2 linked regions of the Oryzias latipes genome follow. The protein of the gene in region 1 binds, or shares a complex with, the protein of each later gene. Links are inferred from orthologs where the notes say so. Each region holds a gene or a part of one and is shown on either strand. Other genes may lie near its edges.

Region 1 (4,217 bases):
TATTAATAGGTCTGATTTTGTTTTTTCTGTTTCTCACAGGGAGGTCAATGGGCTTGGTGGTTGGCATCAATCCTTCATGTCTCATATTTGGACTACTGATGCAGCTAACTGTCTCATTCTGCCATGATACATAACCTCACTCTTCTAAGCTGCTTCAGGACTGTGATACAAAGCACAATAAAAAATATAAGCAAATAAGCAAGATACAGTTTTTGTGAAGAGGAAATAAGCAACATATCTGGAGTTCTTCATGTCATGTTTCCTGACATTTTAGTGAACGTTGTTGCAAATTCCCTTTTTTTTTCAAATTAGCTAAAAGTACAGCTTTGCTTTTGATATAAAAACACAATTATAACATTTTGCAGCGTTTTCATTTAAACCCCATATAAAACCTACAATAAATAAAAGTTAACATTTATTTTTCTAAAAACATGTATATTGACAAGGAAAAAATGTAAATTTTTTGCAAATGAAAAAATGTATTGACATTTTTTATTTGTCTGTATGTTACTGCAAACTGTCAGGTTATTTTGTGTATATAGTCAATAGTTAAGACTGGAAGTATTAGTGCTTATCAATGACAGTCTATTGTTGCTGTGAGTTTATTATTGTTGTGCTTGCTTAATTTTCTTTAACTTTTAGCTGAAATGTTCAGTTAAACCACTTGGGCTCTGAATGACTGTTACTTTATTAAAAGGAACCAACAATTAAACTTTTATTTCACAATGTATATTTTTACATTTTCTGTCTTTTGTTCTTAGATCTTCTCTCACTGATAACCTCAAATGTTTTGCATACATTTCAGGACTTTCGGAGGTCTAAAAAACAAATCCTGGCAGTCATAAGGCAAGAATCAGGGGACCGCAAACCCAACAGTAATCTATTCATCAGTCTTTTTCAAATATTATAAGTTCCGAATCATATCTAACAGGACAAATGTTCAATATTTATTCAAACCAGGGATACTCTTAGAAAAAACAAATTCATTTATTACTCTGTAATTGTTTAAAATTTTCTTTGAAATAAATCTCTGTTATCTTAGAATTTTTCTTTTGTGTTTAGTAACCTTGAAACATTATGGGCGTCCTGATTCTGTAGATCCAAGAAAAAACATATTTTTGATAGACATTATTTACAAGAACTTGTGAAGAAAAAAGTGGTATAAAAAGTTGGTCCACCTGAAAAGAAAATAGAAAAAAAAAAGATTAATAATTACAAATATTTATACGTTTTTCATTAATTGTTTTTATATTGTTATTTCTGCCATAGTGTTTACGTTTTTGAACATTTATAAGGGGGTTGGCAGTCGTTCCTTATAATTGTGAAAATAATCTAGAAATCATTTTTGTAAGTTTTTCTTTGTTTGTTTTAAATCATCGTGAATAAATTCCTCGCCTGAAATAGCTCTTTTGGCTCGGGGACGTCACATAAACTCGCGGTGACGTCAGGAGCAGCTACTGAGCATGCCCAGCGGCAGCAGCCTTCACGTTTCTCCGAGCCTGTCAAACACAGCCAACATGGCGGACTGGGGTAAGAAACTAAGTTGGGAATGGAATATATTTATACACCGTAGTCTTGTTGTAAACTTCTTTTAAAAGTTGAAAACTATATCACCATAAGATTATAGCGAGTTGTCTTCGCATATTGAATGTTTTTTCTTATTGTAGACGCCGAGACCTTCGAGCCAGAGGAGCCGCTTAAAAAGGCGGCAGTTGTTGTTGCAGTTATGGACAAATGGGAAGGCGAAGACGAAGAGGAAGATGTTAAGGTATGCCTTCATCATGTCATAGTCTTAACGTGTATATTTAAATTCAGGTATATCTGTATTGTTTTTTTAGCGGGTCGTTCACGAGAGTCACGCCGACGTTAGGCTTAAAGCAGATCGCTCTTGATGCCACGCTTCCTCCGTGTCCGTCAAGCCCAACCTTAGAACTGTGTTAGCTGTATGTTAGCTAGCGGATGGCTAACTCGCGTGCTTCCACAGACTGTCCAATGTTGAGCTAACACCAGCCCTCCGTCCGGGTTTCACTAAGTGACAACTGAACGTTGTTTTAGCAAACTATTAACAATAGAAATAATATCTGCTTTGGTTTATAGTTTAGACTTTGAAATATACTTTTCATTTTAGAGGATTTATTGGCATAGATATTTGCTAACAGTTAGCCTGTTTTGGACGCTCAGCTGGGCACGACGATGCTTATTTTAAAAAAGAAATGTCAGAAAAGTCCAACTTTTTTTCTTCTTTTTACCAAAAGTGGTAAAGTGAAAATAGGTGAATAATGGCAGTAACTGTGGGCTCCGGTCTGCTGACGTTAGCTAATAGCTCGCTTACCAACTTAGCCTCAGTCAGAGGAAATCATTCTCTCTGCTGATGATTCAACTCGGCCAAAAGGAGGCCTAGAATTTTCCGACTTTACGATGGCTGAGCAGGAGTTTTGAGCTGTTGCGGCTCAGCTGACACTGCAGCTCAGGTGGCTTATATGAAAATATCGTGTTTCTTCCCAAATAGTTCAGCCGTGGAAAGTCTTAGTGTAGGCCTTCCTGGGATAAATGTATATTTATTTATTTGGTCACATATGCCATGGTGTCAAAGCTTGGGAAAAAATTTACTTTTTTTTTGCTAGTAGTTTGCTATGTAAGCAAGTGTACTGTTTCATAAGTGATAATTGGACATGGATGGTCATTTCTGAATAAAACTGCTCTTTTAGTGAAAATATCTCATAAGTTTAAACTAACGTAACTAATTTATTAATTCATTTATTAAAATAAAGTACACTACCCACTACTAAAGGAACAGTAACCTTGTTTTTGGGGAAACATTAATAGTCAATAAGTACTAGGTGCTGTTGCAATTATTTTATTTAGGTTAATGAGTTTTATTTATTTTTGCTTAATGAATTGTTCTGTCATCTCATTTGAGATCACATGTTGTAAAAGCTTGAGTTAGGCTTCACAAAGTGGGTGAAGACATTTCTGTGGATTTGAGGGATAGGATTTGGCAACATGTTGCAAAAGACAAAGTGGTTAATGTTGCAATAAATGCAATAAAATAAAGCTCAGGAATTTCTGGTATAAACCAAATTAAGATAAACTAATTTAAAAAAGAAGTAAAAATACATTTTTAAATCAACCTTTTTTTTCTGGAAATAACCTAAATATGTTTTCTTTCTTTCTTTTTTTTAGGATAACTGGGATGATGATGAGGAGGAAGATGATGAGAAGAAAAAGGAGGAGGCGAAGAAACCAGGTACTATAATCATTAGGAAAAACTTGCATTTTTATGGGTATGAATGTTGAAATGTTTCAAACTTGTGTTTACAGAGACGAAAGTTTCTGATAAGAAAAGGTTAAGTGAAAAGATCAAAGAGAAGGAAAACCGGTTAAAGAAGAAACAGCAGGAGTTGCAAGAGCAAGTATGTGTTGCTATGGCCTTTTTTTATTTAAACGGTAAAACAATATTCCTATAATGTTATTGTTTTTTTGCTTTCTTTAGGAACAAGAGGAACTAACTCCTGAAGAACAACTTGCAGAAAAGTTAAGAGTGAAAAAACTACAGGAAGAGGCTGACTTGGAGTTAGCAAAAGATGCTTTTGGTAAGAAAGAGTTGGCCTCTTCATTTCTCTCTTTCCAGGAAGTTAAAAAGAAAGGATTTTGCTCTACACTATTTTTACAATTAAAAACATTTGTTGCACCAATGAAAAACTTTTTTTTAATGTAACTTTTTGTTCTTAGAAGACATCTAAAAACGTTTTTTTTTTTTTTCTTTCTCTCACCTCAGGTGTTGGCAGTGTCACCGGCATTGATGCCATGTGTCCATCCTCCAAAGAAGAATTCACAGAATTTGAAAAAGTGCTGAAAGAAAAGATATCCCAGTTTGAAAAGTCTGTGCATTATTCAAGTTTTTTGGAATCGTTGTTTCGGGAACTTTGTATTTCATGTAAGGAAGACCTCAGTTTCATTTATCCTCAACATCACTTCTTAAATGCCATTTTCTTTATAAATCCAAGCCGGCCTAATATGTGCATCTTTTTTCTTTTTCATGCAGTGGAAGTAGAGGACTTAAAGAAAGTCAGTAATTCCCTTTCGGTTCTACTTAGTGAAAAACAGAAACAAGAAAAAGTAAGTTCTTGATCATCTAAAAGTGACTACTTGTACAAAAGGGGGCGCTGTTGACACATGGCATTGTTGAGAAGTTTGTCTTCTCAATTTCAGCTTAA
Region 2 (4,214 bases), on another chromosome or scaffold:
CCGAGTCCCTGACCTTTCCCCCTCCCTTGGTGTGTCTTTTCTCCTTCCTTCTCTCTCAGACTCAGCTTCTTGTCTCCACACCCCTTCTCTCCACGCTTCATTTCGTGGTTCTGGATTGAATGCAGGCAGTTCTCGGGGCAGTTGGGGAGGCAGGTAAGCTCGGAGGGGTGTGTGTTTGGAGGGACCCCCCTCCCCTCCCCACTCTTCAGGTATCAGCTCTTCCAAAATTCCAACAGTTTCCTCACTGCAGGACTCCGTGATGATGAAGCTAACTCTGCTTTCAGACAGTGGAAACGCCCCCGTTATTTGGATAAATGAACAATAGTTAGAAAGATGCTCCATCACAGAAACTCTCACAGTCCGTCCCCAAGTCCAGGTAGCACTACACTCAACGAGAAATCCTTTATGATTTTTGAAAAAATTACCAACGAATCCAAGTGAAAAAACGCCAAGGTCCAATTTCTGCAGAGACTTTATTAATTTTTTATTCTGAAAAAGTTTCCATTTTTATTAATATAACTCAAACACAACGTGTCTCTGCTGCCCCCTTATGGCAGTAACGAGTAGTTCACTCCCGTTACTAATAGGCCCAGGATGCTTACAGTCAGTGTCCCGTGCACACACTGATGCCAATACAACCACCAGCAGTGTGGGGTTCAGTGTCTTGCCCAAGGGCACTTTGACACAGGCAGTCAAGGTGGGAACCGAACCTGCAATCTTCCATTGAGAGGTTGACCGCCCTACCTCTGCACCACGGTCGCCCAAGTCTTAGATAACTTGCTATCTGTGAAAGAACTGTATGCAGCCACATAGCATGTGCAACCACAAATGCAGATTCTGAGTCATGGTTTCTAAAGTGGGCAGAAGAACAAGTCACAAACAAACGTAACTGTTCCAAGGGCGTGGAGTTTTGTAAGGTGCTTCCAAACAGGGACAGTCTCGGGTGAAGCAAGTTTGATATTAAAAAACACTGTAAAGGAGCCATCTCATGTAGTTATTTACCATCTGCACGGAGAACATTAGGATTGGTCGTAATTTTATAGTTCAAACCGACTCAGAAGGTTGAAATAAATTATTTAAAATAGAAAACAAAGATGTTATATTACATCACCAGGAGTCAGTGTGCTTTTAGCATTTCCTGATCTTTTATGTTTGTACACTTCTGAAAATAAATAGACACCAAGCATATTGACCATATTAAAGTGCATATTTTAGAACTGTTCTGAAAAACTTTGAGTAATTTGTTTATGGGAAACAATAAAAATAAACTAGTTAAGCAAAGAACTGCTTCAAATGTACCTTTAGTATTCGTTGTCTGATGCAAATCTCACTTCTTCACAGCAAGAATTATCAGCTGAGAACCACACCAAACTCAATATCCCATCATGCACCGCTGAACCATTTCCTGAGTTTCTCCTTCCGGTTTTCCTCCGTACTTCCTGTCAGCGCTGCGTGGTTTAGCGGCGTTAGCTTGTGGGCATCACGCATAGCTTTTCTCCTGCTCTGTCGCTGAATTTGTCACAGAACGCGCGAACATGTCGTACCACGAAGAAGAAGAAGTAGTAGTAAGTTTACACGAATACGCGCAGATTTCCAAAGTTAGCTTTGAGTTAGCCATGATTTAGCCACTCTGGGTTCCAGCCGGTGGAGCAGAAGAGCTCGCTAGCCAGCATGCTAATGTTGTTCTGTTTGGTCCTATAATATCTCTTTATCATCTGGAACGGTTCCGTTATGTTCGGTATTGATGTGTGAAACCTAGTTTGTCGTTAAAAACTGACTTGACGGGTCTGGATCGCCGCCATAACAATCCCCCGTTTGTCCACAGTACGACCCATACGCCTACACGACCACCACCACCACCACCACCACCACCACCGACTACGACCTACACACCGGTGAGTATGCCGTTAGATGTGCAGAGTGATGTCACTCACTGTGACGTTTCTAACTCCCATCAGGTCAAAAGGTCGTGGCACAGACCTCAGCTCTGCTCCAGACTGAGGAAGGAACATTTGATGAAGCCTCATTCGTTGAACAAAAGTTTTCCCGTTCGCCTCCAGGTGACCCCAAAGCAGACCTGGCCTTTGAGAGGCAGTATGAGCAGCAGACGTACCACGTCATTCCAGAAGTCATCAAGAACTTCCTCCAATATTTTCACAAAACCATCTCCGACTTGATCGATCAGAAGGTCTACGAGCTGCAGTCCAATCGGGTGTCCAGCGAGAGCATCGAGCAGAAGATCTACGAGATCCAGGACGTCTACGAGAACAGGTACGGCCGAACCGTCCCGCTGAAGCCTGCTCAGGATGATGGACACGAGCCTGACTAGTGTTTTCCGGTTCTGCTCCTCATCAGCTGGAATAAACTCACGGACCGTTTCTTCAAGTCGTCTCCGTGGCCGGAGGCCGAGGCCATCGCTTCACTCGTTGGAAGTGGTGAGAGCAGCGGGTCATGCTTCAGGGGAAATAATCAGGAGTTTCATTTTGTGGAGAAACGTTGACATTTTTTAGAATAGTCTCCTAAATCCCCCTCAGTCTTTTCTGTCCTTAGAAAAAATGATATCTGCTTGTTTGTTGCAGACGCCGTGTTCCTCATTCTCTATAAGGAGCTGTATTACAGACACATCTACGCCAAAGTCAGCGTAAGTGTCAGCGCAGCAGAAACACTGCAGTGCATTGTGGAACCTTATTTTGACTAAAAGTTTCTATTTTTTAAATCAGGGGGGCCCGACTTTGGAGCAGAGGTTTGAGTCGTACTACAACTACTGCAACCTCTTCAACTACATCCTCAGTAGGAGCTGCCGCCTCCTTCTGCTGATCTCAGCACTTCAGGAGAATCGGGTTGGTTGCTAACGTGAGATTGTTTGTAAACAGATGCCGATGGCCCCGCCCCTTTGGAGCTGCCAAACCAGTGGCTTTGGGACATCATCGACGAGTTTATCTACCAGGTACATGACAAGGTTCTTCCAGTGCAAATGATCAGCCGTGGCGTCATTAAAGGTCGGCTCACTGGGCCGTCGGTGGCATGGCGAACAGGAAGTACGGCTTTGGAGTCGCGGTTGAGATAAATGACGTCACTCCTCGTGTCTCCTCAGTTCCAGTCCTTCAGTCAGTACCGATGCAAAACGGCTAAAAAGTCAGAGGAGGAGATCGAGTTCCTGAGGAACAACCCAAAAATCTGGAACGTCCACAGCGTTCTCAATGTTCTCCACTCCCTGGTGGACAAGAGCAACATTAACCGCCAGCTGGAGGTCTACACCAGTGGAGGTAAAGACAAAAAAAGATCTTTTTTTTTTTTAGCTTTGCCCTTTCAAACCTCTTCGTCTCCATGCAGGAGACCCAGAGAGCGTGGCTGGAGAGTACGGACGTCACTCTCTCTACAAGATGTTGGGTTACTTCAGTCTGGTCGGCCTTCTGAGGCTGCACTCTCTGCTCGGGGATTATTACCAGGCCATTAAAGTTCTGGAGAACATTGAGCTCAACAAGAAGGTAGGATTGGAGGCCACCTGATGAACTCTGTGACTCCATGGGTGCAGAATTCTCCAGAACCTTCTGGATCTTTGCCTTTCCTCTTCCAGAGCATGTACTCTCGTGTGCCTGAGTGCCAGATCACCACCTACTACTATGTGGGCTTTGCCTATCTGATGATGCGCCGCTACCAGGACGCCATTCGCGTCTTTGCCAACATCCTGCTCTACATCCAACGAACGAGAAACATGTTCCAGAGGTCCACCTATAAGTATGAAATGGTGAGGAAGAGCAGGTGATCGTGGATGCTGGTGACCTGAGCAGCTGATCTTCACACAACCTGACTGACCTGCTTTCAGATCAACAAACAAAACGAGCAGATGCACGGTCTGCTGGCCATCGCCCTCACCATGTACCCGATGCGCATCGACGAGAGCATCCACACCCAGCTCAGGGAGAAGTACGGCGACAAGATGCTGCGCATGCAGAAGGGGTGAGTGGGCCGGCCCTCCCCAACCCGCTGCAGCTAGACCGCCGCCTCAGCTAGACCGCCGCCTCAGCTGACCCTCTTTACCTCCTCAGAGATCTGCAGGTGTTTGAGGAACTCTTCAGCTTCGCTTGTCCTAAGTTCCTGTCGCCCGTGGTGCCAAACTACGACAATGTTCACTCCAACTACCACAAAGAACCCTTTCAGCAGCAGCTGAAGGTGTTTGCTGAGGAGGTGCAGCAGCAGGCGCAGCTTTCCAC

Evidence for each region. Proteins that work in one complex are often made in the same cells at the same time.
Region 2: eif3j (region 1) and eif3l share a complex: the UniProt entries of both Homo sapiens proteins name them as parts of the eukaryotic translation initiation factor 3 (eIF-3) complex. The link is inferred for Oryzias latipes from reciprocal best matches to the Homo sapiens genes EIF3J and EIF3L.

Annotation. Positions count from the first base shown.
Region 1 is NC_019861.2:18,399,567-18,403,783, reverse strand, and holds the start of eif3j (eukaryotic translation initiation factor 3 subunit J), read left to right. Parts: upstream 1-1,415; 5' UTR 1,416-1,463; coding exon 1,464-1,530; intron 1,531-1,667; coding exon 1,668-1,768; intron 1,769-3,183; coding exon 3,184-3,247; intron 3,248-3,321; coding exon 3,322-3,413; intron 3,414-3,493; coding exon 3,494-3,593; intron 3,594-3,778; coding exon 3,779-3,937; intron 3,938-4,045; coding exon 4,046-4,119; intron 4,120-4,217. Other genes in the region: stereocilin, read left to right, coding at 40-134. UniProt on the Homo sapiens protein: Component of the eukaryotic translation initiation factor 3 (eIF-3) complex, which is required for several steps in the initiation of protein synthesis.
Region 2 is NC_019873.2:29,649,450-29,653,663, reverse strand, and holds the start of eif3l (eukaryotic translation initiation factor 3 subunit L), read left to right. Parts: upstream 1-1,412; 5' UTR 1,413-1,535; coding exon 1,536-1,565; intron 1,566-1,825; coding exon 1,826-1,895; intron 1,896-2,060; coding exon 2,061-2,271; intron 2,272-2,355; coding exon 2,356-2,435; intron 2,436-2,579; coding exon 2,580-2,641; intron 2,642-2,720; coding exon 2,721-2,790; intron 2,791-2,873; coding exon 2,874-2,947; intron 2,948-3,094; coding exon 3,095-3,266; intron 3,267-3,333; coding exon 3,334-3,488; intron 3,489-3,577; coding exon 3,578-3,748; intron 3,749-3,826; coding exon 3,827-3,960; intron 3,961-4,049; coding exon 4,050-4,214. UniProt on the Homo sapiens protein: Component of the eukaryotic translation initiation factor 3 (eIF-3) complex, which is required for several steps in the initiation of protein synthesis.